Tribolium castaneum: one gene and its partners. Each later gene encodes a partner of the first gene's protein in a complex. Links are inferred from orthologs where the notes say so. Each region holds a gene or a part of one and is shown on either strand. Other genes may lie near its edges. The genes, in order: Rrp4, exosome complex component RRP43 and Csl4.

Region 1 (10,582 bases):
ATGTATTTCCATATTAAATAACGCGGACGAAGAGGCGCCTAAGTAGCCTGTCGAGTAGTCATCTATTACGTGCAAACATGCAAGTAACGTTTCCACATTCAGTGCTTAATGAGTGAGATATTTTAGGTCGTTTTCCCACAGATAAAATATAAACACGCTAACATCTCCTATCCATATTTACAGAGTTGTCTTTTTTTGCAGATGGTGCACCATACTCTTGCAATAAGTCTGATTCTAGTCGTAGTGAATATATATGGAAGTTTAGGTGAGTTCTTTTACTTGTTTCATTCAAGCGGAACGACTTGAACGGTTCTTTGCGGTTTTCGGATTGTTTCCAAATTACGCTCGACCGTTAATTATGTTTTGTTTGTCCCAACTTAAAGAGACGCCAAGTTTCTAATCATCTTAATTGTTTTACATAACTTTGCATAGATATCCATTTTAAGCGAACACAGGAGGAAGTTATAAAACTAAATGATCGTACAAAATCTATCAACAAGTAAATTTCCATTTAATTCCAGGAAGGATAGCGTTTGAAAAACTAACAGACTTCGATTATCGAGGAAACACATATTACACCGTAAAAAATTTAAGTCTTTATGAGTGTCAAGGTTGGTGTCGTGAAGAGCCCGATTGTCAAGCTGCAGCTTTTAGTTTCGTGGTAAATCCTTTAATACCCGTCCAAGAAACGCTTTGTCAACTTCAGAATGAAACTTCATCGAATAATCCGTCAGCGGTACCACAACGTTCCGTCAATATGTACTACATGACCAAGTTGCAACTACGTTCAGAGAACGTTTGTTTGAGACCTTGGGCTTTTGAACGCGTCCCGAATAAAATGATAAGGGGCTTGGACAACGCCCTTATTTACACTTCAACTAAAGAAGCTTGTCTTGCGGCTTGTCTCAATGAGGTATAAATAACACTTTTAATCAAAATGTTGGGGATAATTTTTGCTTCAAAAACAGAAAAACAACAATGGTTGTTTTACCATGAAGTAAACAGTGAATAAAATAGCTATTATCGTTTACGAAATACGGAATAAAAATATGTTTTGTAAAATTGTACATTAACATATTTTCTTGACTTTTTTGTATTATTTAATGTGTACAATTTTAAAAATCGCCATAGATACTTAAATGCTATGTAAAATTTTATGCGCTGCATTCAAATTTGAAGGTCGTTTGTAGATTTGAAATTGCCTTCATTATGAAAAATAGGTTTTAGCGAAAAGTTTGCAAAAACCTAAAATTGAACAAATTTTGCGTTTGCATTCGCTAGAAACTTTATTTTTTTTAACAGAAATTCTTCAATTAATACGGATTTTTAATGAGAATTACACTTTCTTGTAAAGTTACAAGAAAATTTCGAGATTTTTTTCTTTTAAAAGATAGATCCCTACATGATTAAATACTTCACAGCAAGCTTATCCCCAACACCTTGACTGGAAAAAGTAATTTTTCTTCGAAATGTGACTATAAAATTTTCATTGTAGCACCGTTTCACCTGCCGTTCGGTGGAATACAATTATGTGACTCTCCAATGTCAATTGAGCGACTCTGATCGACGTACCACTGGTCAATTTGTGCAATTCGTAGACGCACAAGGTGTTGACTATTTCGAAAATCTGTGTTTAAAAGGAAATCAAGCTTGTAAAGGCAACCGAATCTTCCAAACGCCTCGAATTGGAGTCGCTGACGATAAAGTAGCACAATACGCTTCTTTGCATTATTACACCGATAAAGAACTACAAGTGACAAGTGAAGCGGCTTGTCGTTTAGCTTGCGAAATCGAAAACGAATTTCTTTGTCGATCGTTTTTGTACAAGGGACCTCCACAAGGCTCACAATACAACTGCCAGTTGTTCCACCTTGACCACAAAACTTTACCGGATGGACCTAGCACTTATCTAAACGCTGAACGACCTCTCATTGACAACGGGGAACGAATTGGGAGTTATTTCGAAAATTCGTGCGAAAGTGAGTACAATTCATTCATTGATGGAATTATAATTTAATAATTTCTTTTAGAAACGGTTTCACCATCTGGGGCTCCCTCTGATAACACTCTCCCTGTAGTGTTTGAAGCTACAGAAGACCCGACTTTGAACAACTTGACCCGAAGTGATGTCAATTGTGACAAAACTGGAACTTGCTACGATGTTTCAGTCAATTGTAAAGATACCAAAATCGCAGTTCAAGTCAGGACCAACAAACCGTTCAATGGCCGGATTTATGCTTTAGGACGTTCAGAAACTTGTAATGTTGATGTTATCAACAGTGATCTCTTCAGATTGGATTTAACGATGACGGGACAAGATTGTAACACGCAGTCGGTGGTATGTTACTTCACCTAACAATAAAAGTGTGTAAAAGCCGCTGTTTCAGACCGGTGTGTATAGCAATACTGTTGTTTTGCAACACCACAGTGTTGTTATGACCAAAGCTGATAAAATCTACAAAGTCAAGTGCACGTACGATATGTCGTCGAAAAATATCACCTTCGGAATGATGCCAATCAGGTGAGAAATAAAATATGTAAAACAACTCGATCCAATTTTTTTGCAGAGATCCTGAAATGATTAGCATCACCTCAGCTCCTGAAGCGCCACCTCCAAGAATCCGCATCTTGGATAGTCGGTCTCGTGAGGTGGAAACAGTGCGAATTGGAGACAAACTCACTTTCAGGATTGAAATTCCCGAAGACAGTATGTAATTTATTTTAACCATTAAAATATTGTTATTGTTATTTTAGCACCGTATGGTATTTTTGCGCGAAGTTGTGTCGCAATGGCTAAAGATTCTAAAAGTACGTTCCAAATTATTGATGACGAAGGATGTCCGGTTGATCCCAGCATCTTTCCTGCCTTCACTCCCGACGGAAATGCTCTCCAATCAGTGTATGAAGCTTTCCGTTTCACGGAATCATACGGCGTGATTTTTCAATGCAATGTCAAGTATTGTCTGGGACCGTGCGAAGCTGTGAGTAATTAATTTTTTATGTTTATTTGTGGTGATTTTCTTGTGTTAGGCTGTGTGCGAATGGGGACGGGATTCGATCGAATCTTGGGGTAGGAGAAAGAGATCTGTGAGTAATACAACCGATGAAGAAAAGGAAGAAGACATGACTTTGAGTCAAGAGATCCTAGTTCTTGATTTTGGAGATGAGAAACAATCGCAGTTTCTCAAAAGCAGCGAATCGAGTGCTGATTTCGGTAAAGGTATTAGTGTTGGATTTCGGACGAGTTTTTATTCAATTGATTTGTTTCTAGATAAAACAGTAACGATCATTGAACCGTGCCCCACCAAGACTTCAGTGTTAGCCTTGGGTGTGACTTGTGCCTTATTAGTTCTACTTTACATCAGTACGCTGTTCTGTTACTACATGAAGAAGTGGTTAAATCCCGGGAAACACATCGCTTGAAGATTTAGAGACACTTTGGTGCTTTAATCAAGTTTGATCTTTCGGTTGAGTTGACGAGCAGCATTGTTAGTTCTGTGATATCGTTAACTCGAGATGAGATATCAAATAGGGAATTCCCCGACTCTACATTATGCAATATGTATTTTTTAAGGATTTTTTTTCGGGAAGGTGGCGGCCTTGGTGATGGAAGCTTTATTTTACCGTTGCAAAAGTTATACTTTCTTGATCTCTTATTAAAACTAATTTGCACTGACTCTCGTTCCTAGAGCAAATTTTGTAACGGTAAACAGTCTAATTCGTGTACTTATTTATTTTATTTATTTACTTTTTTGTATATATCTCGACTAGGCTAACATTATTTATATCGATTATTTTATACACGTTCTCAAGTCGAATAATAGACATTTTTTATAAGAAAAAACTATTTATTATGAATTTTCCAACATGCTTAACCTATCCTGAGTCAAAATTGCTACATCGACCATAGCTTCAGGAATCAATAATTCAGCCACTGAATATTTCTGTGATTCTTCAAAAGCATACAAAATGCTAGTATCGTACAGCATCATTTTACTTTGAATAAGCGCCAAAATACAGTTTCGAAGACGTCCAATTGTTTCTCTTTCTGGCCTTGAAACGACCTAAAAACACCACAGTAGCAAAAAAAAACAACAAAACTATTGTGAGACACAACTTGTTCCAAATTTTGCACAAAGCCACCAGCGTTATCCTCAGCATTTGAAACAGTTGGATAAATCCAAATAAACCCATTATTGCCCAAAATAATACTAGCCCCAACATAGAAATTGTGAAAATGTGTTTTGCTCCTTTTAATGAGCGAGGGAAAGACTTTAACTAAAATACCTTGAGAAAGCTACAATCAAAAATGAACGTATAATCAAAACGTAACGAAAAACACGAGACAAACTTTTCCATATTTCAAACTTCTAGTATGTAAAGATAAAGAACCATCTGAATAAACGCTCTGTACTTCGGCACTTATAAGATCGCCCTCTTGAAGATATTGTCTCATCATATGCTCGTCTTCTGCTGATCTACGCCGCTGAAATTTAATATTGCCAACTTACTTGCAAAATTAACGACCAAAAAAATCTTTTATGTACCAGTTCCCCTCCTGGTAAATTAACGGAAGACAACAACAAGACCGAATCCAGACGCGAATTCGTATCAACTTTCCAGCGTTTTTGTTGGACTTCTGTGACTCGTCCAACCACCACATCACCCACTTCACCATTATATCGACTTTTTAACGGACGAATCGAAATCAAATTATTTACTTGTTCCTTAACTCCAGCAACTGATGATTTTAAAAAACCCTCTTCTTCGTACGTACCATGCCCTCTATTTAGAAAAATCGCAAAATTTCAAAAAAAAACACGAGACAAACCTAACCTCATAAATTCATTTTGCTCCGTAATCACTTGTCCCGGAGTAAATATCTTTGGAACTCGACGGTTAACAGCAATTGAGGGGTTGATGCGATGAGCGGCAAGGCGTATGTGAATTTTTTGCGGCATGTTCTTGCAAAACACTCGAACCGCATTTGAGATTAGAAACAACAATTACTGGGTTAGGCAAGCAACAATACGCAAGTACGCAATCTATATAAAATTGTGACTTCTCTGTTATCAATCTGAATTATTATTGAAACTTGTTTTTAATTTTCTATTTTGTCGGTTTTATGTGTAATTTAATTATTAAAAGGAAATTTTTGTTTTTTGGTATTTTTAATGACTGTTGTGGTAGTCGTGCATGTCATTTGAAACATGTCATATGTGTTTTGACAATTGATAATTTTATTTAAGAAAAAATAATTGTATAATACCGGTCAGGTGAGGCAAAATTTTCTTTTCCACATTGAAATGAAAAAATTTTAAATTTGTTATTACCATAATGTAAGGCGTATTAGGAAATCAAAATTAAATTATTCTAACCTCACTTTTGCGATTTGTCTTACACACAAGTTAAAATTTATTGAAAATAATTCGTATATTGTTGTGTATTATAATAAATTGTGGTTCTCAAGGGGGAAATGATTATAATTCACAATGAATACGGGATCAACACAAGACATCGTAATTGAAGTTCTGCAAAGAGCCTCGAGTCAAAATCCAGAAGTGTTAAAACCGGCTGAAGCCAAATTACGGGAATGGGAAACTCAACCTGGATTTTACACAGTTTTATTTGTACGTATTGGGCAAAAAACACAATTAAATAATACACCATTCTTCAGAATGTTTTATCTAACCACTCGCTTGATATAAACGTACGGTGGATTGCAGTTTTGTATATAAAAAATGGTATTGAACGATATTGGAGAAAAAACGCACCAAAGTAAGTCACGCAAGTTGTAATGTACCTAACTAAAGTTAATGTCCATTTCTAGCGCTATTTTAGAGGCAGAAAAACAAAACATTAAACACGGTTTAATTTTAAGTTTTAACGAACCCGTTAGTCAGATTGCGGTACAAAGAGCGGTTTTAATTTCGAAAATTGCACGAATTGATTGTCCGAAAGAGTGGCCCGAATTATTTCCGACTTTACTACAAGTAATTGAAAGTCCTGATTCTCTAGTCCAACATCGAGGATTTTTAACTCTTCATCATGTAGTTAAAGCCATTGCTTCGAAACGGTTAACAGGCGATCGCCGTTTTTTCCAAGAGTTTTCCAGTAATATTTATTCGTTTGTGTTGAATTTATGGAATAATTTCACCGAACAATTTATGAATGATGTAATGAAAGGCGCAGCTTCGCAACTAGTTCTTACAAATTTGGAAAAAGCACTATTGACTTTGAGGATTTTACGCAAATTGACTGTTTTTGGTTTTTATAAACCGCATCAAAACCAGGATTGTATGAAGTTTTTGAAAGTGATTTTTGATCGCGCTAAAATGGCACTGCAATGCAGTGAGTAGTTTGTGTGGTTATAATTTTTTTTTCGTCACATTTGAACATTACAGGGAAACATTTGAGGGATAAAGAACTGGTGGAACAATGCGAAAAATTCATTACACACTTAACGAAAGTTTTAATATCCGTCTTGGACGTACATCCATTTTCATTCATTGATTTCATTCAACCTTCGTTCGAATTTACTACTTATTTTCTTTTCACTCCTGATGGAATTAATTTCTTGTTTGAACGCTTCATTATTCAGTGTTTTAATTTAATTAAAAATATTCTCTTGTGTGTGGAATATAAACCGCCGAAAATTCTCGAAATGTGTAAACAGGAGGAAACACTTAAAGCGCACGAGATCAAAATTAATTTTTTTCAAGCCAATACTTTAACCGAAATTTGCCGAAAATTGGTCTCGCATTATTTTATTTTGACACAAGAAGAGTTGGAAATGTGGGATGCTGATCCAGAAACGTTTGCGATTGATGAAAGTGGTGATAGTTGGAAGTATAGTTTGAGGGTAAGAACAAGAAATAATTGTGTAAATAAATTAAATACAATTTCAGCCTTGTATGGAAACTGTTTTCGTGACAATTTTTCACGAATTTCGGGACGCTTTAGCTCCGGTTTTGCTTGAAATGATTCATGAAACCAACTGTATTGTTTTACCCGAAGACACTCAAGGAATATTACGTAAAGACGCAGTCTATAATGCAGTTAACTTGGCCGCTTATGATCTTTATGACGAGGTAAGTAAAAAATGTTTAATTAATTAATATTTAATTTTAAGTCATTGCAAAAAAATATTTCCTGGCATTCTAAAATTATTGTCTTTTGTATAAAACAATATTAAAAAAAAAACTTTAGAATATTGTTGTTATTATTATATGTATTATATTATATTAAAAACATATTATTTCTAAAGAAATTCTTGTCATAAACAAAAAATATTTATTAATGAAATAAAAATTTAAAATCTAGGTAAATGTACTCGTAATTTTTGTAGAGAAACAATTTTTTACTTATTTTTTGCGCAAAACATTTAAGTATAAAAAATATTTTTCAGGTCGATTTCGATTCATGGTTCACCAACACATTAACTCATGAGCTTAAAATGAAACAGAACAATTACCGTGTGATTCGGCGAAGAGTTTGCGCCTTAATCGGCCGTTGGACTGGCATAAAATTATCATCGGAATTACGTCCAGCTTTATACGAATGTGTGATTAATTTATTAGGTCCTGACGAAGACATGGCTGTTCGCTTAACAGCCTCTGCAACACTACGATACGCTATTGATGATTTTGAGTTCAGTTCCGATCAATTTCGTGATTATTTAGACCCAGCATTTAACTTATTGTTTAATCTGTTGAAAGAAGCGAACGAATGCGAGACAAAAATGCACGTTTTGAACGTAATGACCCTAATGGTGGAGAGAGTAGGACAGACTATTAAACCACACACTGATGCATTGATTCATTATTTGCCATTGTTGTGGACCGAATCTGAAGATCATAATATGTTGAGATGTGCGATTGTTTCGACTTTGGTTCAATTGGTCAAAGCTTTGGGGTCGGTTAGTTCAGAATTGAACCCGTTTTTATTACCGATTATACAATTAGGCACTGATACGAATCAAAGTGCTATTGTTTATCTCTTGGAGGATTGTCTCGAGTTGTGGTTGACTGTGTTGGAAAATTCTACAACTATGTCAAACGAGCTTTTGCAACTATTTAACAATATGCCAACTTTATTGGAATATTCAACTGAGAACTTAAGACTTTGCCTATTGATTGTGTTGGTTCACACTTTGTTGGCGCCAGATCTTGTCATGCGAACACACGGAGTTCAAGTGATTACAGTTTGTGATAATTTAATGGCCGATATGAAAAATGAAGGCATTGTAATGTTGATCCGAATGTTGGAAATTTTTATTCGATCGTCACCGATTCTAGGCTGCGAGACTGTTTTCCCCATTTTACCACGTATATTCCAGTATGTGATTTTGATTTTTTCTACAACTTTAAATGACAGAATTAATTTTAGAAAAATCTACGAGGGTGAGGATTATCCTCTCTTAATGTCAATGTACCTGTCTATACTGGCACGTGTTTTGCTTTCCTCGCATGATGTTTTTACACGTGTTTTGCGCACGTTGGCTCAAGTTCATAATGAAACGGACGAAAATGTCCTTGGAAAAATTTTAAATGTTTGGTTATCGAAAATGCCAATGGTGTCTCAATTAGAACAGCGCAAACTTTTGGGTCTAGCGTTGACGAATTTATTGACCACTCAAAGTCGGCCAGTGTTTCAGAGATTTGCAACAGTTATGGTCAATATTTTGGAGTGTTTGAACGATATGGAAGATTCACTTTTGTTGTCGGATGGTCGTAGTCCGAGTGATTATGATGATGTTGTGCCGTATGAAACCGATCATGATCAAAGGAAGAAACAATTGATTTTGTCGGATCCAGTGCATACGATAGTTTTGAAAGATTATTTGCAATCACAAGTGAGTTGATTTTTATTTTTTGTTTGCATTGTTTTGGTGGTTTTGTTTCAGATGTATGAACTTAGGAATCAGATTGGGTTACCTCAGTATGAACAACTGCTACAAACAGTTGATCCTGATACTATTTCACAATTGAAGGGGTATATTACGTTGTGAGAATGACAAAATGAAATTCTATCTTTAGCAATATCTTATTATTTTTGTTATATTTTTGTAACATACCTAGTTGTATAATAATCGTTTCTTTTAGTCCTTATTCAAATGAATTTCATTCTAATTATTTATTGAATACATCGCTTAGTTATTATGATTCCGAAATTGATTTGAAACCTACATATTGTATATGATTGTACCAAATAAGATATAATAAAAACTGTTACAATCAAACACTACCTGTCTTTTTTTTTTGGTAGGGAGAACCACGTTAGAGAAAACGTTTTTAATTGTATAACATTTTTTTCTTTACTGGCAAATTACTGCGAACAATAAATTACAAAAATAATTTAATAAACAATATCTACAACCAATCACAGTCCACTACTAATTCACCAATTTACTTTTTATGTACAGTTTTTTTATCCAAATGAAAAATTAAATTAACTTTTAGGGAAATGAAAATAATGTCAACTTTATTTTTTGAAATTTTTCAAAATATTGTTGGTTTATTTAGGAAAAAATTAATGTTTAGGGACTCCAAAAAATGTTAAGAACTGTGGTAAAAGCATTAATGATCAGACAAACCTCTTTGTTCTTATGACACGTACTATGCAGCAAATAATTACCTGAACAGTTGTTCAGTTGTTGATACTTTATTATTATATAATTATTGTGCCATTTTGTTTATTATTATTAAAATAAAACTGGATTTTTGCTGATAAAGATCTTCAAACATACAACTATCTTTAATAATAAGACCGTGAATTTTCGAATACCTACCTACTTTTATTCATTTAAATAATGGGTGAATTTTAAAACTTCACATAATTTGGTGAAACAGCAATCTTTTGCGGTATTCAGAATGCAACGAATTTTACTTTTAATACTTTAATAGTAAAACCTTTATTCATTTAATCAAGTCTCTAGAAATTGTATTATCTTTGTTCATTTATGTTATAATTTATTGAAACTTGCATAACACGCACTGTTTGAGCTTTGACGCTAGGCAAATTATTTTTTAAAGGGAAAAATCCGCGATTTTAAAATAATAAAGCCGTCAGTCATAATCAAATTCAGACTTCAGCAATGACTTCATTCTATCAATAATATTATTTACTGCTTCCACACCGGTAGCATCTAATTTACAACTAATTTGCCTGTTGTATTTTAAGTGCATAATGACCCCCCTTATTGAGATGACTCTCACTGGTCTAAAGGGAGTAAAGTGCAGACTTTTATATCATTTAATCAATTTTAAAGGAATGCAAAACAACACTTATAGTGCAGCAAGAGGGACATATGTGTTGGAGCTCTTGGTTTTAACAAATTAAAACAAGTAAGTGTCAATTTTATTTTTTTATTAACTTTGTCACCCAAAAATAACGAGTCTCCCTATTCAAAACAACATAAAATAAAAATAGCACAAAACCTTGCAAAGTCGCAGTGACACAAAACACGTAAAAAAGAACGATTTTCAAAACTGAACCATTCAAAAGCTCGGCAACAAACCCAAAAACCCAGGGAATCCCAAGAACCGAAAACAACAACAAAGCTAAATACAACCGCGGTTTC
Region 2 (10,503 bases), on another chromosome or scaffold:
AACGAGTTTGTTGGTCTCACTTCCGGTTAGTACATCGACGACATCGGCCAATACTGTTACGCAAACGGCCAACATGGCAAGCGGAGTTAATTCGATTGGGGTTGGTGGACCTACTGTTGTATTGGCCAATGCAGGGACTTCCAATATTGGTAAGGATTGATTGGTTGTGTGGTTGGAGAATAGGGGTGTTTTAACAGTTTTAACAAGCGTTGATTAATATCTGTAGCCGGACAAACACACGAAACCATTCAAAAATAAAATTTTACATATGCAGGATTCTATTCAAAGTCTGGTGCTTCAATGATTTTTAATTTAATTAAGCAACTAAAGCAACTAAAGAAAAACGCGCACAAAATTAATTCAATTTCGGACGAAACAAATAATTTCGTCTTTTTAATTTTATTTTTTAAAGAACCAGATAGCAAAATTTTCAATAACTCACCAATAACAATTGTTTATATCGACGACACTAGCACAATATTCACGAACGCACATGAATTTTATCACAAAATTACAAAATTTTATGTGTTGGAATCAAACACAAATCTCGCCTTTCAACAGATTTGTTTAAGTAATTTTAAAAATTATTAATCAACTACCTAACCGTGTGGAAGCTAGACTTGGACTGATTCATTAATCATTATCGTATCCATTTCCTTAAAAAAAAAACATTTCGCAACAATTCCATTCTAGAAGGGCAGCATATTATTGTCATTCGTAACATCATAACATCGAATTATTCGAATGTAAACAAAAACCAAACTCTAATCACAGGTCAAACATACGATGTTGAATTTAATTCGAATTTAAATCAACATTTGTTACAACTTTTGTATACAAACAAGATGTCTCAAAATTGGCGAATTCTGAGTTCAGAGCCTTGTAGAGATTGTGGTAAAAATACACTGGTTTGAAATTCACTCTTTGAATTGCCTTTTCTTCAAGTGCAGGCTAAAAGTTTCAATGTTTATTGTTATTTATGGTGTAGATGATTGTGAAGAATAATAATGTAAAACAATTTCTCAATAAACTAGCTTTATTTTAGAGTAAAAAAAATCATAAATTTTTATAATTAGCCGTTTCATTTTAAAAAATTTTCGATTTTTTACTCCAAAATAAAGCTATTTTTTGGTGAAATTGTTTTACATTATTATTTTCCGCAATCATCTACACCATAGATTCATTAAACACTGAAATTTTTAGCCTGCGTTTGAACAAAACGCAACTTTAAAGATGTGGTTAAAATATTATTTAAGCAAGACAACAATAAATCATGCTTTATCACAGACTATTTGTCTTCAACCTTAAATAGAGTCAAAGAAATGGCTTTCGAGTGAAGGATAAGATAGAGATCTAACAAGTCAGTTTAGGCAGAAACAATTTATTACGTTAAAAATTGTTTTAAGTATCGTAAAAACATGATTTTCATATTTTTTATTGAGAAGCGCAACATAGACGTGACTTATTTTCAAAATTATTAAAAAAATTATACGTTTCGGGTAGAATAGAGTTGGTACACATTTTTTTTAATTTACCTGATTCGTAATCTGTTATTCTGACAATAAAATGGGTTTAAAATGAGTCTTTGAAGCGTTAAAGCTTTAAAGTTGCCTACTCTGTTTCAAAACTACGGAAATGTTAACGTCGCATTTTACCAAATTTTTATAAATAAGATTTCTCACGGAAACTATAAATTACATTAGCCATTAATTTTTTGAACTAAGTTTGAGAGAAAATGCGACGTTGGAAAATATTTTCTCTAGGATTTTATGACCTATCCTTCTATTCTTATTATATGGCCCTATTTTATATTTTTACTGCCCTTTTTAGCATATTTTACAGTATAATACAATCCCGTCTCTGCTTATAATGGATTTCCAATATTAAATTGCAGAAATTTAATTTCTTTGTTTGTTTCTAACCGCTTGCAAAAGCACACATAATTAGTGAATTTGGTCTTTTTTTTGGTTTGTGAGGAGAAAATAGGATTTTTTGAATGGTTTCGCTGGTTGTCTTTGTGTTCATTTTTGCTTCGTGTTTGTAAAGTGGTTTTCTTTAAATCCAGCCCAGTTAGTCACGTCTGGGGTGAAGGGTTTAACCCAGCAGGGTATCCGGGCCCAGGGCCCCGCTTCGGTGTCGTTATCTCAGGGCGGGCAATCGTATCAGCTAGTGACCCCTTTACAGAGGCCCAGGATGCAGCAAAACATCCAAAGAACACCAATAACCCTCAAGATGGCAACACAGAACTCAAGTCAGTTGACCGATTTGCAGTTAAATGTCAATAGAAAATGATCATTTTCCATTAAATTCAATTGAGTTGAAGTCCTAATAGATTAATTCAATTAATTAATGCATGCTTTTTGTTGGTAATTTTTTAAGTAAAATCTGTGATATTCATTTTGAAACTTTTGAGAGTAAATTTTCTTAGATGCAGCTACAAATGCTTCAATAACAAGTCAACTGCAAAAGCAAGCTCAATTTCAACAGTATCAACAGCTCTGTCTGAACCAACAGCAGAAGAATGTGGCGGGCGTCGCGGGAAAACTTCGAAGACGATCAAACACTTCAGATCCACAGTAATATTGTATTTTCTGTACATTGTGTTATCGAACTAGTCTCTCCTGTTTGTTTTTATTTTTATATATACGTTTTAACTTTTGCTGAGTACTTCACTAACAAATAATAAACTGCCGAGCATTAGAGTGTCGTCTTTGTGAATGCATTCAAGCCGTCAGTAAAACTCAAACATCACACTCGTTTAATTCTTAATTTATAAACCTGTAGAGTTCTTCCCACTATTTCTGTGATCAAAGCCAGTATTATTATTTATTTCGTGGTCGAGAAAATAAATAGTACTGGGAAATGGTTGTAATGTTTGGATTTTTCAAACGCTTGGGTGGTACTTTTGCAAACAGTAAAGAGATATTGTTGATCTCATCTGCTGCATTACATTGCACAATTGTCGTTCCTACATTTAGAAATAAACATGGTGCCAAAAGTGGACCTATACCAGTTTATTTTCAGTTTTCTCTAGGTAGGGACACGGCCTATTGTTTTTACTGCCGTTTTATTTAAAACAGTACAAATCGCGAGATTTTCTTGTAGCAGGCCGCAATACTGTATAATACGGTATAAGCAATTTTGTGCATTTTTGCAGTTTCGTTTAGTTGTAGTTAATTTAATCTACTGTACATATGATAGGGAAGATGTATACTTTTTGTTATTTATTTATGAGCGCGGAGAATTCATATTAATGAAATAAGATTATCACTAAGTGCATTAGCAATATTGTTGGAAGAAATGTGAGTAGATTCATTTGATGTGTACATATTTTTTCTTTTGTAAATAATTTTAGGTGTATCCACTTTATCATAATTTATGATTGTTTTTAAGTAGTTTTATTTTTATACTCAATTAATGGTTGTGTAATGTTTCATTTTCTGGTTACATTTGTTTTAATTCTTCTAAAATCGGATCATCAACAAAAAAATATTTGTAGTATTAAGATATCAGGCATAAACGAGGACAAAATGTTATACTTTATAAAACATCAACGATGTAAAATTACACATTGTTAAAATATACAAATTTTTATTAAAACCCCTATTATTTATTGTTCCTGGTATTTTTCTACTACCATTCCTGTCCTAGGCGCAAACTTTTAACTGTACATACAGTAGACTTATTTCCCTTTTGAACGAAATGTGTAAAATACTTTGTAAAAATATCTAACATCCTTAGTCTCTACATTTGTATCATATGTGATTATGTGGTGAGTTGTAGTATTTTGTAATAATGTATATTATTTGCAATGTTTCGTATTTTTTGTACATAAATTCAGACACGTGTTGAATATTTGGCAATACCAATATGTATACTCGTTAAAATGTAAAGTGTTGATTTTTCCCGATTTTTATTTTTTCAATCCTGTAACAAAGACAATAGATTTTTTTATAAATGTGTGGTGATTTAATTTTAAATTCGGTTAAATGATCACACAACCTACTGTGGAACCTGTTAAAATTTTTATTTAAATAATATAGGATATACATTTATAAAAAAAAATGTTTTTATTATAAACTTTTAAAAGCTGTTTCTATAATTTCCTCAATCACAGTTGCACGTTTTGTACTTTCTTCCACACACTTTAAAAGTTGCTCTTCCGTAAAAACACAGCCACCTGGCTTGTGAACAAAACACAACTCTTCTTCCTTCACCACAATTGTCACCAAAGACGTACTTAAGTCCTCCTCATCCACTGTTGGGTCTATGAGAATTTTACTACAATCAAAAAATTAAAAAGTTTACAACAACAATGATAAGCTTACTCATCAAACATTGCAAACGTTGTTGCTATTGGAGTGTTGGTAACACTAAGAGCTTTCCTCTCTTGCACATTCACTTGCTTGTTGTCAAGGGCTGGATCGTACTGAACCGCTGGCAAAGTAACTGAAGCGCAATTATATTTTTCACAAAAAAACAATATTGTCTTTACCTGACTTAAGCGCTGCCATTAACGCAACAACACACGCGTCTATCAACGCCCCATCCAAATCCAAACAAATTAAATCAGCATATAAACACCAAGCTAATTTGTCTGGAAATATACATAACGTTTTTAAGTCTAAACAATCAGAGTTTTTTAAAATATCGGCAACTAACTGGGTCGCTACTTGGGCTTGTTCAGTTGGGGGTCCTGGCCGAAATTTTGACGAACACAACGGTGGTAATTCCACATTGGGGATCAAAAACCCCTCGTTTGCAGCCTCAGCCTTGGGCTGACACAACTCCTAAGGTTTGGTTTAGCAAATTGAATGCCTCCAATTACACTCACCGCTTTAATGCCGCAAACTACCGTCGTGCGACCAACTTTGGCAATCGCAGACCCATCGGCTGTCGAAATTGAGCCCAAATTGACCACGATGGGGCGATATTCCCCAAATTCGCGCCCATCAGGTCGGATTTTGTGGGCCAAGTGGTCGCGGAAGTACTTGACGGGGTGCAAAATCCTAAAACATAGGATAATCACCTTGTTATTTATTCACAGTACTACAATTATTACTTGTATTGTTCTGACATTATTGAATTTGTTTATAACCACGTTTTTCGTTTTTGACAATTGACATTATTAATGACGTTAGTTTTGATTGGTTGCCGACAACGGTGGGGGAAACGTTTGATTTGAAACGAGTAAATTCGGTTGAATAATGCAATTTTTGTAATGAAGACATTTGCTTGCAAATAGGGCATTTGGTTGGGAACAAGTATTGTCGATTGATTTTTGATTTAGTGCAAAATTCCGTTAAACCCTTCAAAACATGTTATCCCCACTCGTGTGACGTTGCTTAAATCTGGGCTCCCATTGGTCCCGTTTGTCATTTCAACGGTCTCTCAGCTGTTCGTTTCCCGCACTCTGCGCTCTTTGCATCTGGCCGTTAAAAACAGTCGTTTTGTCGGTTAGGGGTAGCTTGGGTGTTTAAGTTGGGGTTCAGTTTGGCCTTCGGTTCAGCAAACTTTTCGTTTTTCGGGTATTAGAAACTTGCACGTGTGTTAGAGGAATGGCATCGATAAGAATTCACCAGGACCAGGAAAACCGGGTGCCGGAATTGCGCCGAAAACCGGGAACGACTGCCCAGCAAAAACGGGGCGTTCTGGGCGAGATTGACAGTAATAAAGTTAATAACGCAGCCCTTAAAGGAAAACAGGTAATTAACAGTTGGAGGTAACTTTGGATGGGAAAAACGTTTGCTTTTTTGCCAGACGAAGAAGCCAACCGTTTTGGGAAACCGGGTGGAAAATGGGCAAAAAAACGAGAATAAGAAGAATGTCGTGGTTCCGGTGGCCCAGTTTGAGGCGTTTACTGTGTATGAGGATGATGAATACAGAGCGAGAATCGATGAAAGGCTCAAACTTATCAGTAAGAGTAATGTGTATAAAGGGACGGCCGAGGACAGGTTTATCACGAAGACAGAACTTGCCGAAATTGAAAGGAAAAAGAATTTGGAGAAATTGAAGGAAATTACTGCGCCTCAACTTAAGAGAAAATCGGAGATTCCGATGAGCATTGAGAAATCAGATGTGGAGAACATTGAGCTCAAAGAGCAAACGGTTTCCACAAATACCAATGCTAGAGATGTCTTTTTTGAAATGGAGGAGTATAGGGATAGCATTTTTGCTTATCTCAAAGAACATGAGGTAAAGTATCTTCAAGAACGACGAGAAAATTATTCCAAGTTTTTTTACATCCATTGACATTTATTCTCAATTAAAAAAAAAAAAACAGATTGAAGCCCTTTTTATTAACAACTTTGACTTTTTTTGAAATACTTTCGGGGCGGGAAATTTCATTATGGCTTTAATTTCGTATATTATATTCCATACTCTACGTTGTGATATGTTAAAAACATGAGAACACTTCAATTTACGATTTTTACCTATAACTTGAAAACTATCTTTTGTGGACTTTTCTCTAGAGCCTTTAGATGTGCCAAAAGCGTCAATTGAACCGGTTTTATAAAATCAGATTTATCAATTTTTGCGAAAATTTTGGTTGATTTCGATACCCGGAGCATTTATCGGGCAATAACTCCGGAACTGTTTTCCACGACCTTATTAAGATTGATCGTTGAAAAGCTTTTTTTATTTTCTATCTGCGACTGAAGAAATTGCTACTAAATGCAAAAATAGAAAGAAATTATTTCTGTAGATAACTTCAAAACTGTTACAAGTTTGGCCGTTTTCTCGACGTCAATCTATTCTTCGGATTATATTACATTGGAGTATCAAAGTGGTTCCATTTTTCGAATACTTTTGCTGTAATTGAGTAAATAAAAAATGAAAAATTACTGAACATTCTGTTTGATAAATCTTAATCTTATCTTTACGATGGAATAAGACTTTTTTCTGGTCTTTCAGTTTCACCGTATCCGTGTTTGAAAACTGATTTTTTTTGAGATTTAGTTCGATTTCTGGAGCATTTATCGGCCAATAATTTAGGAACTGTTAGACTTTACCCCATCAAGTTTGTTATTTTTGGAAAGCTTTTTTAACTATCACAAGCCAAAGATGTTTTTTATGTTTCCTGTATTCTGATTTCTGTAGTACCCACTGTTTTCTTTTCTACCACATTTACAAATAAAAAAAAGTTTATTATAAATTTTTAATAGTGAATTATTGAGTTAAAAATTTCAAATATTAGATGTGATACCTCTCGCGTTTAAAAAAAATCGTATGGGTGTTTTTTTTATGGATTGCTTCTGGGAGATCACATTTTATGGACCAACAGTAATGTTGTAATTAACATGTCTCTCACGAGAGGTAAAAGCGCAAAAACCGAGTGGTTTTATTTAATTTTTTGAAATAAGTAAAAATTATTGCTATGTCGTCATAGCAGTAAATTAAATTGGTAAAAACTGACAACAATATTGTAAACACTAAAAACTATGTTCGCCCGTGTTATCTATCGTTTTTTAAAATGATAATGTCATTTTTCTACCTATTTCATCTAATAGTTTCCGAGAAAATTGCTAAAGAAGCAAAATTAGGTAAAAATTATATGTTGTTAACTTGAAAACTATGAAGAATTTGACAGTTTTCTCTACAGCAAACGATTCTCCGGATTACTTTACTAAACCTATATTTTATTAGTTTTGTCGTAATTTACGATGGAATAGGATTTTTTTCGTAACTCTTTTAATTTCACCGTAACTAGCGTTTCACAATTGATTTTTTTTGGAGTTATCGCTTTGAAACCCACGCCAGTTTGTAGAGCTTTTGACGTCTGTTTCAATAGTTTCGCCTAATTGGCGCCTGAAAAAAAGGATAATTTTTTTCGTTTTTCTCGTAAACTGGTAATCGTCTGTCGGATGTGTGTAAGCAGAACTGAGACTTATTTAAAAAATATTACGTTACTCCAATAATTCGAATTCCAATGAATATGATTATAAAAAAAATCATGTCTTGCGATAACTTTTGTGCGCACTGTAAGAATAAGAATGCGTTTTAAATTATCTATGTTTTCGTAAAAACTCGAAACCGCTCCGGAAAATGGCTTCGCTTACAGAAACATTTTAAATTTTTTATTAAAAAAAATCATAATTCGAAATATAAAAAGTCCTACAGCAAAACGGTTTGATCAGATTACACTTTACGTAATATACTATTTTTCAAAAAAGGAAAATAGAGCATTTTAACTTAGAAAACCGTATTTAAACCATTTTTGCGGTCTAAACTTGAAAATTTATACGGAAACCCACTTTCTCTGTCAAAGTTCATGATTTTGAAATAAATATGATAGTGATACTAAGCATAATGCATAAACTGTGATTGGTCCTCCAAATCTCCACTAATTGTTTTCAGCTGCGACATCGGCCAAAACCCGGCTACATCGTGAAACAGCCTGACGTAACTGAAAACATGCGTGCTGTTTTGATCGATTGGCTTGTCGAAGTTACTGAAGAGTACGGTATGCAAACGGAAACCCTTTATTTGGCCGTAAATTTCATCGACCGATTTTTAAGTTACATGTCTGTAGTTAGGGCCAAATTGCAACTTGTGGGTACAGCTGCAATGTTTATTGCTTCGTAAGTCGATCGCCCAAACGCTATCCTCGTTTAATTTGCCCTTTCAGTAAATACGAGGAAATTTTTCCACCAGAAGTCAGCGAATTCGTGTACATCACTGACGACACTTACGACAAACACCAAATGATTAGAATGGAACAGTTAATTCTGAGGGTGTTGGGCTTCGATTTGTCGGTGCCCACACCACTTACTTTCCTAAACGCCATTTGCATTTCCACAAAACAAACCGAAAAAGTGAAGAATCTCGCGATGTATTTAAGCGAATCGGCGCTTCTGGAGGTCGAACCGTATTTACAGTTTTTGCCGTCAGTTGTCGCGTCGTCGGCGATAGCTCTCAGCAGACACACTTTGGGCGAAGAAGCGTGGCCTGGCGACTTGCAAAAATACACAGGATATAATTTGAAAAAATTAGAATCTTGTATTGGATTCTTGTATAAAATGTTCGCCAAAGCGCCATCTAATCCACAACACGCCATTCGGGACAAGTACAAGGCGCCAAAGTATATGCAAGTTTCTAAGATTAGTCCCAGCGGTGAGATGATTTCGTTCGATTAAAAGACTGCTCTACTTCGTAGGGAACAAAGGCCTTGCGTTTTTTTTTCTGGTCTAGTTTTTATTATTAGATTTATTAATTAGATGGTAATAATTTATAGTAAGCTGTGCTGTGGTGTCCCATTCATGTGTACTGTCGACCATCAATATTATTTTAGTTTGCATGGTTTTATTTACTGTCTTTTATGTGTTATTTTATTTGGATTTACGTATTTTGAATTTATACTCTCGTTGAAACTACCTTGTTTCCTAAACATTGTACAGTTTATTTATTTGTTATAAGTAGTTAAGAATCAAACAAACGAATTGCTGCCATTCCTTTATAACAAAATGGACGAAATTGTCAATAACAATTTTTGATATTTTTCTATACGCAATAAATTGTGGAACTACAACCGACGCGTCATTTTTAACACCATTTCCATTCCCTACTTTCCTATTGCTAATTTTCACATACCATCAGGTGAAAAGTATGGAACCAGTGTTTTGTGCTCAAGCTATTATTTATTTTCTGAAAAAACTAGTTCACGGAGTGACGCAATATAAAAATTTACTTTCTTTTTTGAGTAATATCTGCCCTTTTTTTCCACTTCCATGAAATTCATTAGGATACAAGTTTGACTTGATTTAATTAAATAATCGATCTGGTCAGCTAAAATCAGTATTATTGGTTGCATATTTATAGAATTTCAGGCAAACTTACAAGTGACTCACCCTGTATAACGAGACGGATCGTAGAAAAAGTATAATAGTGTATGCCGCTCGCATTTAATGATTTAATTAAGACACTCATATACAGCTCGTACCATCATTACGACCTAACTTAAAATAATTAACATAAAAAATTGGTGATTGATATCTTATTGAGTTTTTATTTTGGTATTTCGCAAAGAGGTAAGAATAGTTTAAACAAGAAACTGATTCTGATCACTACTGATCTGTGCTTTAAAAAAATAAGGACAGTTGGTAATAAGGTTGCATGCACAAATTGAGGCAAAAGCTGCAGTCTTGTGGAGGTTTTCTGAAGCTCTTACCATCGCTACTCGCCGCTAGGTGGCTGGATGTGGAAATTTCAGCGTTAAATTTAAAACTGTTTCAGCTAATTTTTGTGTAATCACGTTAAGCCAATCATTTAGTATTGAATGAAACAGTTACATAACTAATTAGCGCTTAATTAGTTGGTTGGACGCATTAGCAAATCGATTAAGAAACGATAAATTGGTTTATTTGTCGAGTGGAGAAGCTTAACGAATCGTTGGCGTTTTTGTGAGCTTATTGTTGAATATTACGCGGTTGTACCCAACCACAATAATTCAATCAGAAATCGATTTAAATAAATTGGCTATTTTTTCACATGTGCACCGAATAA
Region 3 (10,147 bases), on another chromosome or scaffold:
TATTGCTCGAGAAAATTCCGGGTACCCAAAATCGACCAAAACTGCGACGAAAATTGAAAAAATCAAACATCTAAAAATCGAACATATGGACTTTTTGTGGACTAAAAACAACTTTTGTGGGTTGTTAAGACATAAAGAAGTCCATAAAAATTTGGTGGAGTGAATTTAAAAAAAAATTTTTTTTCATCACTTTGAAGGTAAGGTGTAGGCACAAATTTATTACTCAGGAAATTTGAGCAAAAAATTTGAAAATTTTAAATCTCGTGAAAAGTTGGTATAATACAGAAAAAAATCCGCTGAATCCAATGGAACAAACCGCGTTGCTCTACGACTTTTAGTTTTCGAGTTATGAATTTTTTTATTGAATAAAATTTTCCACTATGACAAATGACTACCCTAAATTTAGGCAAAAAATTTTAAATTTTTAATTCCTGTGAAAAATTGATATAATATGTAAAATGAGCCGTAGAATTCAATGGAACAAACCGCAGTGCTCTACGACTTTTAGTTTTTTTTTTATGAATTTTTTTAGTGAAAAACTTTGATCGCCTCTGTAGCCGGAACCGTTGCCCGGAGCGGCTCCGGGTTTAGTCGAAAAAATAGATAAAATTAAGCGCTATCAGATGGTTTTTTGTTCGTTGCTCTAAGTCTTACAGTTTCCGAGAAAAACGCAAAAAAAGGTTTCCATTTTCACTTTTTTTCAATTTTCAACCGCCAATTACGGCGAAACTATTAGAGTTATCGAAAAACGGAAAAATGGAGGATAACCGGAATAAAAAACTCTACAAAATGGCATAGGACTCAAGGCGATATCTCGCAAAAAATTTTTCAATTTTCAAACGCCGATTACGGCCAAACTAAAAGAGCTAGACGAAAACGGTTTGTTCGATCGTAAAGAGCACATCAAAATCTATAAGATAGAATAGGTTTCATTTGATTTAGAGACACTTTAAAAATTGACCGATTTTAAGGGGGGGGTGTTAACTTTTTTTTTATTTTTTTTATTTTCCCAATTACGACTAAACTATTCGAAAAAGTGGAACTGTTTTGATCCTTACCTATGCAAAATGATCCGGGGAATCGATTGGCATCGAGAAAATTGCCAAATTCCGAATAGTTTTTTAGTTATGAATTTTTTAAAATTTTACCAATTTTTGCATTTTTCTCAAATTTGCTCGAAAACTATTAGTCGCAGAACACTAATTTTTTTTGAAAAAGATAGATAATTTAAAGAGCTTTCCAACGATAATACACTTCATGGGGTTATCTCTGATAGTTCCGGAGCTATTGCTCGAGAAAATTCCGGGTACCCAAAATCGACCAAAACTGCGACGAAAATTGAAAAAATCAAACATCTAAAAATCGAACATATGGACTTTTTGTGGACTAAAAACAACTTTTGTGGGTTGTTAAGACATAAAGAAGTCCATAAAAATTTGGTGGAGTGAATTTAAAAAAAAATTTTTTTTCATCACTTTGAAGGTAAGGTGTAGGCACAAATTTATTACTCAGGAAATTTGAGCAAAAAATTTGAAAATTTTAAATCTCGTGAAAAGTTGGTATAATACAGAAAAAAATCCGCTGAATCCAATGGAACAAACCGCGTTGCTCTACGACTTTTAGTTTTCGAGTTATGAATTTTTTTATTGAATAAAATTTTCCACTATGACAAATGACTACCCTAAATTTAGGCAAAAAATTTTAAATTTTTAATTCCTGTGAAAAATTGATATAATATGTAAAATGAGCCGTAGAATTCAATGGAACAAACCGCAGTGCTCTACGACTTTTAGTTTTTTTTTTATGAATTTTTTTAGTGAAAAACTTTGATCGCCTCTGTAGCCGGAACCGTTGCCCGGAGCGGCTCCGGGTTTAGTCGAAAAAATAGATAAAATTAAGCGCTATCAGATGGTTTTTTGTTCGTTGCTCTAAGTCTTACAGTTTCCGAGAAAAACGCAAAAAAAGGTTTCCATTTTCACTTTTTTTCAATTTTCAACCGCCAATTACGGCGAAACTATTAGAGTTATCGAAAAACGGAAAAATGGAGGATAACCGGAATAAAAAACTCTACAAAATGGCATAGGACTCAAGGCGATATCTCGCAAAAAATTTTTCAATTTTCAAACGCCGATTACGGCCAAACTAAAAGAGCTAGACGAAAACGGTTTGTTCGATCGTAAAGAGCACATCAAAATCTATAAGATAGAATAGGTTTCATTTGATTTAGAGACACTTTAAAAATTGACCGATTTTAAGGGGGGGGTGTTAACTTTTTTTTTATTTTTTTTATTTTCCCAATTACGACTAAACTATTCGAAAAAGTGGAACTGTTTTGATCCTTACCTATGCAAAATGATCCGGGGAATCGATTGGCATCGAGAAAATTGCCAAATTCCGAATAGTTTTTTAGTTATGAATTTTTTAAAATTTTACCAATTTTTGCATTTTTCTCAAATTTGCTCGAAAACTATTAGTCGCAGAACACTAATTTTTTTTGAAAAAGATAGATAATTTAAAGAGCTTTCCAACGATAATACACTTCATGGGGTTATCTCTGATAGTTCCGGAGCTATTGCTCGAGAAAATTCCGGGTACCCAAAATCGACCAAAACTGCGACGAAAATTGAAAAAATCAAACATCTAAAAATCGAACATATGGACTTTTTGTGGACTAAAAACAACTTTTGTGGGTTGTTAAGACATATGGAAATCCATTAATATGGAATAGGCCACATGTAATTCACCCCCTTCTTTCTCCTTTTTTTTTTTTTTTTTTTTTAAGTCCCACTTTTACGATTACGCATTGAGACCCTCACAGCCATCATACAAACACAAAAATAAACTCACCCTTAGTTTTTGGTGGGGCGGAAATTCCGTTTTTTTTACGTTTTTGTGGACTTTTAACATGGTCGTACAATTACAGCAACAACAGACAAAATAAAACAAAATAAGTAGATTTAAATGACATTTAGCCACTTTCATAAAAAACAACCCTTCAATAAATAAATCTCGTATCTCTGTTCCTAGTTGACCAAAAATTTTAAAATCAAAACCAACTTATTCTCCACTGCAAACAGTTCCCGAAACTAGAAAAAGTATTAATAAAAGTTGAAAAAAAATATAAGGGTGGGTTTTTCAAACTAATATAAACCCCATCGAGTGACCCCTCAAACTTCACCGCCTGAACTGGACATTACAAAAACACAAAAATGTGTAGGTCTTTTATGGCTCCTTAAAGAGATAGCAAAATGACTATTGAAAATTACAATTTCAACCAGACCGTCGCTTAGACTACATCAAGTTGCATCTTTTCTCTCATAGAACAAAATTGCGCCCAACGCTTAGTTTCCGAGATATTTAAAGAATTAGGTTCAAATTCAAATTTTCGCGCCTGCGTTTATTTTTAAGTTTTTTGAGCACGTTTTTCAGGAAGCAGCGTGATTTTTTAAGTTTTTCAATTTTTATCGAATTACGGCTAAACTATTCGAAAAAGTGGAACTATTTTGATCCTTACCTATGCAAAATGATCCGGGAAATCGATTGACATCGAGAAAATCGCCAAATTCCCGATAGTTTTTTAGTTATGATTTTTTTAATGTTTCCAATTTTTGCTTTTGCTTGCAATTTTCTCGAAAACTATTAGTCGGAGAACAATAATCATTTTTGAAAAAAATAGATAATCCAAAGAGCTTTCCAACGATTATAAACTTTATAGGGTTATCTCTAATAGTTCAATTAACTTTTTTGCACTTTTAAGGGACGCAAAAGGGTTTATTAAAATAAACAAAAATACAATTTATTGAACATTATTTCACATCATTTTGCACGCTTTCTGGCACAACTCTTGCAACCTTCCTGGCCTCCTTCACAAACGTCTTGGAGCACTGCATCTCCGTCCAGCTCACAGGCACCATAAGCCCCCCATGTTCCGAGTGCGCCGTCACGACCCCCAGCTCATTCTCAGCCGTGGACAACTGATAAGTGTGAGCTTCCGTGATCGGCAAAACCCTCGCCAGAATCACGTCCCCGGGCCTGAAACTCTTGTAAATCTCCACGCGGTCCTTCTCCGTCGCTCGCACGTCCTCCTTCCGCAAAATCCCGCGATACTGCCGCCCCAAAACCTTATCCCCGACACACTTAATGTAGCATTTGCAAAACTGCTGCGTGATTGTGTGAATTTGCGCTGTGACGATGTCGCCCTGTGACGGCACGAGCGTTTCCTGCCCGGAACTGCGCACTTCAATGATCTGGACGTTGTCTTTGGGGACAATGTCCACAACACCGGCAAGGGTGGCGTAGATGTAGCCCCCACGCTCGTACGTGCCTTGACCGGACACGTGCGAGGGGTCCGACAGGCACAGCCGCTGCCCCGGGAGGCACACAAGGGGCGATGACATGCCCAAAATCAACAAAAAACGAAATTTTTGATTTTTTTTGAGGTTAAGTCAAATGTCAATTGACATGAAGAAATTTCAAAAACTGCGTGTTCCTTTTACTGTCAATATTATTATCACGGCAGACGACGTTCAAAGCCAATCAAAGGCACACAAGGAGCTATAACATGCGAAAAATCAGCACAAAAACGAAATTTTTGATTTTTTTGAGGTTACGTCAAGTGTCACTGTCAATTGTCAAAAAACGAATTTGCAAAATTTTACTTTCTCATTCATTAATTAACATTAATTACCAATTACGACCATTAATTTGGCTACAGAATTAAATAAACTGGTTTATGTTATGTTTATTTAACTACTCATTACACCCTGTATATACATACAACGTAGAGATAAACCTAAAAAAATAATGCCTTACTTATTAGAATGATTTTTTGCCACCTAACCCCACTTTTTTGACAGCTGTCACCCCTCGTGTTTTGTTTTTTTTTGGGGGCTTTAGCCTGATAATGGGTGATTCCGTGGCCGAATTGTTGCAGTTTGTGCATCTGGGGGCCCGTTTGGACCTCAAATCGGTGGCTTTGGGGCACATTTTGGGTAATAGGGTTCGAGGTTAGACTTGTTTTTTGTAATTTTTTTGTAGGTTTGACGGGGAATGCGGACGGAATTGCCACATTAATCAACACACCGTCACTTCTGGTCTCCTTAATCACACTTTTGAGTGATAATAACGCCACAATTGTCAAAGACTCGGCACTTTGCCTTGTTAATGTCTCTGCTGATCACAAGGGGGCCCTGGCATTGCTTGATTTGGACACGAGTGTGGGGTGCCCCCCTTTACAGAGCCCCCCGAGTGACATTACTTCGACTGTTGTTAAATTCGTGACGGACCCCATGAGTAAAATCGCCGATTTTTCCTGCATGATTTTATCGAACTTATCTCGGGCCAATCACGATAAAGTGATTGATGCGCTTGAGAAAAGCGCAAGTTTGGACGATTTGATTGACATTTTCACGAAAAAACAGTACAATAAAGCGGGGGCTAACCTCCACTACTTGAGCCCCCTTTTTTCGAACTTGTCGCAAAGTGGGCGCGTCCGGAGACGCTTCCTGGACCGGATCCACAAACTCGTGCCTTTCATTGAATTCGAGGAGTCGGCCGTGAGGCGCGGGGGCGTCGTGGGGGCCCTGCGTAACTGCACATTTGACCCCGAGTGTCATGAGCTGCTCTTGGGCCCCCATGTCGATATCTTGCCCCGGCTGCTCCGCCCCCTGGCCGGAAACGAGGAATTTGACGACGAAGACAACGACAAGCTCCCCCTTGAACTGCAATATCTCCCGGAGGAGAAACAGCGTGAAGAAGATCCAGATATCAGGTGCATGTTACTGGAGGCTTTGACCCAGTTATGTGCCAAGAGAAAAAATCGAGAATTTATCAGAGAGAGAAACACTTATGTGATTTTGCGCGAGTTGCACAAGTGGGAAAAGGACAGAAAGGTGCTTTTAGCGTGTGAAAATTTGGTCGATATTTTGATACGCACCGAGGAGGAAATTGGAGAAGATGATTTGAAGACACTTAAAGTGCCCCAAAGTTTAAGCGAAGACTTCAATAAAGCGGATGAGCAGTTTTTAAAAGATGAATAAATTTTTTTACAATTAAATTTCGTCTTTCTATATATTTCAAAAATATATAATTTCGGACGAATTAGTTCGGGTGACAGAAGTTTCACTGTATTAACAGTTGTCACTGTTGTTCTGGCCGTTTCCATAACAATTAAATTATTTAGAAATTTTGCGCAATATTTGAGTTTTTGTTTAGAAACGGTAACTTTTCATTCATTTTTGACCAAATTTGGTGATTTTTCTGTTCTAGTTTAATAAAAACATGAAAAAAAAAACTAGATTTTTGGTCAAAAAACGTGTTTAAATTTTCAGAACTTGCAAAAAAATTTCATTTTTTGCATAATTTTTTGATTTATTACCTGATTTAAAAAAATGCGAAATAATGAAGTTTTTGCTTAGAAAAAGTAAATTATTTTTCATTTTTGACCAAATTTGGTGATTTTTTTCATTCTACTTTAATAAAAACAGGAAAAAAACTAGATTTTTGGTTTAAAAAAACGTGTTTATATTTTCAGAATTTGCAAAAAATGTTATTTTTGAATAATTTTGTGATTTATTACCCGATTTTTAAAAAAAAATTGCGAAGTAATTAAGTTTTTGCTTAGAAAAAAATAAATTTTTGGTCATTTTTGTCCAAATTTGTTGATTTTTTTCGTTCAAGTTCAATAAAAACAGGAAGAAAAAGTGAAAAATCAGAATTCAATTTTTATTAGTGACTTGCACCACGACGATCACAAAGTTGGCAACAGTGGCAAACATGCGCAAAATCGTCGGCTTGCCCAACCGGAAATAACCGGCGGTTAAAACCGGCAAATTCTCCTCCACATATTCGGTTAACTCAAACAATTCGTAATTTTGTAACCGCATTTCGTAAAACAATGTTACAATTTTCTCGCCCTCTTGTCTCACGTAGTCACACAGTAGTAATAAAACAGTGGTCCAAACCTAAAAATAACTAGCACTGCCAACCTAAACCATTAAGACACTAACCACAGTCGGTCCAAGCCTCAAGCTTGCCAAAACTATGCTTTCAAACACCGAAACTTCAATTTTCACATACAGGGTGAACAAAATATAGTTAAGGACTTCAAAAGTCGTGAACGCGACCATTAAAGCAATGGGGAATTGGAAAATTTCGTTGAAAACATCAATAGTTTGTCTCAACTGGACGAAAATTTGCACAGTTTCGTTTAGCGTTTTTTGGTGGCGTATTTTCTGGTAACAAACCCGAAACGTGTTCAGTACAACACATAGCATAAATTTGTAATAATTGGTGAAAAAAATCTGCACCAAACGCACATTAAACTTGTTCAAGTAGCGCCAACCGAACAAAAACGCCCACCGAAAATCCACCAAAGCCTCACACAACAACGTCAAAAAACAAAATCCCCAAAATTTACTAAAATACGGCAACTTCCAGCCCTTCTTTTTAGGGACTTTTATCTTGATTTTGATAATTTCAAGGTGACGCATCAGGAGGTACCAACGTTTGCGTTGCCTCAAATTCACCACTACCAACACATACAAACTAAAAATGTACAAGTTTAATTCGGTCAAATAAGCCACCACGATTTTCATGTAAATGTCCCCAAGGTAAAAATTGTTGGTAATCGTGGTTGAAATTAGCCCACAAGTTAGCAAACCCAAGACCACGAAAATGTACATTTTTTGGTAAAATGGTTCCGTTTTCGTGTCAATGGACGATGGGGTGATTGCAAAAAACCGACCAATGGTACAAACAAGACGCAACGTTTTCAGACCCATGGCTGGGTCCCAACTGACCTTGACTCCCTCACACGCGAAATAAATTATTCAGTGTTGTTAGATAAATAAAAGTTACGTTTTTATGTGTTTGTTTTATTTCACCTCAATTATTAACTAAAAAAAAAAACACCACAAAAAAAACTTGCATAACTTTTAATAGATTATTTTGCCAGAATTAAACATTTGCGTCGTTTTGTTATGATTCCTTATCACGGAAAACGTACCGGAAGTGATAAAATTTGCCCAAATTGAATAATTTAATATTAGATTGTATAACTGGTTGCATACTCACTATAATTAAAGTTTTACGATAACATTTAACTTTCACTTTGTTTAGTAATAATTGCCATAATTGTTAAATAACAACGATTAAGAATCACTTAAACAAGCATTTCGCTAATTTCATTCTTCTGGTGTAAGCATTAGTAATGTTACCTAACCTGATTTATTAATTTTTGTTAATAAAATATATAAATAATATTATGCGATACGGTAATTAAAAGCCAGGAACTAAAGCGTTTTTTAAATGTTGTTAATGTTATTTTAATGCAATTAATTAATTGTGTGCATAACTGGTTGCCTATACTATGTTACGTAATCGGTATTTTTCTTGTTAATTAATAGTTCTTATCAATAATGTATTAAGTGTACTACCAGATGCTAAACAACAAATAATACAACAAAAAATGTACACAAACAAAAAAATAAACAGTTTTTGCGTCTGTTGTATGATTGGTTGCCTATACTACAAACTTTCCTTTTAATAAAAAATTCAACTTTCGTTTTAATGATTGTTTTAATTGGATTAAATAACACACGTGGCTTGATTGTATAACTCGGTCACGACCAATGGCATAATTGGATTAAATGCCCTTAAAAGTCTTCCCTTTTATTTTTCATTTAGTTGGTCATACTGTCGGATGCTGCGAATCAATAAATTCATCTCAACCCTCACCATGTAATCTTTCGTAAAATTCGCCGTATTTTAATTTTTTTTCACCGAAATGGGCTTGTTTCACGGTTTTTTGTATTGTTTTTTGTGGTATTCGAGTATAATGGCTGGTAGGTAATAATAGATTATTTTCCACCCTTGTGTTTTATTAACTTGTAGGCTATGCGATGTTTTGTCCCCTTTTGCCACTTCTGTTTATTTCAAACAAGTTTTACCGAACGTGTACGGACGCTTTATTTACGTTCTGGCAGTTTTATCCGACGGTAAAGCGCTCCATACACTGTTCCGGTTTCACGTCCGTTCCGTAGGTGTTGCTCGAGTTACTGTGCGGATGCGAGATACAAGTATCTGGTGATGCCATTCAAACGGACGAAACGTCGCTCATTGTTATGAATCATCGGACGCGGACGGATTGGAATTTTTTGTGGCCCACGATGTATCACTCTATTTCAGGAAGCGGGAAATTCAAATTTGCCACCAAATTTGTGCTAAAAGATGTCATAAGACACATTCCAGGGCCGGGCTGGGTCATGCAATTGGCCTGTTTTGTCTATATTAAGAGATGTTGGGGTTTGGATAAGTTAACTCTGGGGAAAGCGATTGATTATTTCTCAGAACTTGGATATAAGTATAGTTTGTTGGTTTTTCCTGAAGGTACCGACTTTACCGATAGTACCAAAGCCAAAAGTGATAACTTTGCACGAAAAAATGGGCTTGAAAGTTACGATTTTGTTCTGCATCCTAGAACTACAGGTTTTGTGTTTTTGGCCAAAAAAATGTTAGAGAAGAAGGCGCTGGATGCGGTTTATGACGTCACGTTGGTCTATCCTGATTTGGTACCACAAAACGAAGCTATTTTATTGAAAGGAAATTTTCCAAAACTGGTCAAAGTACATTTAGCAAGGTTTAATAATTTTAAAAAATTATACAGGGTGTCCCAACAACTTGGAAAAGTTCATTACTGACCTTTCAGTAAATATATAAATATTAAAAAACATAAGTTTACATATGCTTTTTTCGAAAACACCCTGTATCAGGAAATTAGTACCTCAAAGTCAATAATAAACTTTTTCTATTTGTTGTTACACCCTGTATATATTTTTTGGTACTACCTATATTTTAGGTACCCTAGTGCCGTTTTGCCCAAAACGGAGGCCGGCCTTTGCGATTTTTTGCAAAAACGCTGGTTGGACAAAGAACGTACTCTACGTGAGTACCACTCAACGACTCAATTTCTCCACGGACGAATCCTCAAAAGTGAAAATCGTTGGGAACTACTTCTTGCGCTATTTTTTTGGACATTGTTGCCGTTTTTTGTCACTTATTTATTGTGTGTGTATTGGTGGTACCGTTTTGTGATTTTGGGCCATACCGTGTTTTTAATTATTGTAAATGTGACAATGGGTGGGTTCCA

The links.
Region 2: Rrp4 (region 1) and exosome complex component RRP43 share a complex: the UniProt entries of both Homo sapiens proteins name them as parts of the RNA exosome core complex. The link is inferred for Tribolium castaneum from reciprocal best matches to the Homo sapiens genes EXOSC2 and EXOSC8.
Region 3: Rrp4 (region 1) and Csl4 share a complex: the UniProt entries of both Homo sapiens proteins name them as parts of the RNA exosome core complex. The link is inferred for Tribolium castaneum from reciprocal best matches to the Homo sapiens genes EXOSC2 and EXOSC1.

What each region holds. Positions count from the first base shown.
Region 1 is NC_087397.1:167,054-177,635, forward strand, and holds Rrp4 (exosome complex component RRP4), read right to left. Parts: upstream 5,043-10,582; 5' UTR 4,962-5,042; coding exon 4,837-4,961; intron 4,786-4,836; coding exon 4,548-4,785; intron 4,487-4,547; coding exon 4,352-4,486; intron 4,298-4,351; coding exon 4,118-4,297; intron 4,065-4,117; coding exon 3,852-4,064; 3' UTR 3,828-3,851; downstream 1-3,827. Other genes in the region: uncharacterized protein tyn, read left to right, coding at 202-265, 522-913, 1,496-1,979, 2,031-2,338, 2,388-2,521, 2,568-2,707, 2,755-2,981, 3,031-3,220 and 1 more; Impbeta11 (importin-11), read left to right, coding at 5,493-5,630, 5,678-5,778, 5,831-6,351, 6,405-6,862, 6,909-7,091, 7,409-8,337, 8,389-8,854, 8,906-9,010; adhesion G-protein coupled receptor G6, read right to left, coding at 10,360-10,582. UniProt on the Homo sapiens protein: Non-catalytic component of the RNA exosome complex which has 3'->5' exoribonuclease activity and participates in a multitude of cellular RNA processing and degradation events.
Region 2 is NC_087402.1:7,978,342-7,988,844, reverse strand, and holds exosome complex component RRP43, read right to left. Parts: upstream 5,208-10,503; 5' UTR 5,080-5,207; coding exon 5,063-5,079; intron 5,010-5,062; coding exon 4,835-5,009; intron 4,791-4,834; coding exon 4,496-4,790; intron 4,450-4,495; coding exon 4,329-4,449; intron 4,282-4,328; coding exon 4,074-4,281; 3' UTR 4,004-4,073; downstream 1-4,003. Other genes in the region: uncharacterized protein Spt20, read left to right, coding at 1-149, 2,066-2,251, 2,429-2,580; CycA (G2/mitotic-specific cyclin-A), read left to right, coding at 5,559-5,705, 5,761-6,195, 8,359-8,582, 8,630-9,137. UniProt on the Homo sapiens protein: Non-catalytic component of the RNA exosome complex which has 3'->5' exoribonuclease activity and participates in a multitude of cellular RNA processing and degradation events.
Region 3 is NC_087401.1:17,296,261-17,306,407, forward strand, and holds Csl4 (exosome complex component CSL4), read right to left. Parts: upstream 4,698-10,147; 5' UTR 4,611-4,697; intron 4,555-4,610; 5' UTR 4,398-4,554; coding exon 3,807-4,397; 3' UTR 3,751-3,806; downstream 1-3,750. Other genes in the region: protein HGH1 homolog, read left to right, coding at 4,904-4,991, 5,038-6,038; uncharacterized protein LOC100141651, read right to left, coding at 6,717-6,962, 7,008-7,781; lysocardiolipin acyltransferase 1, read left to right, coding at 8,786-8,843, 8,893-8,996, 9,042-9,637, 9,857-10,147. UniProt on the Homo sapiens protein: Non-catalytic component of the RNA exosome complex which has 3'->5' exoribonuclease activity and participates in a multitude of cellular RNA processing and degradation events.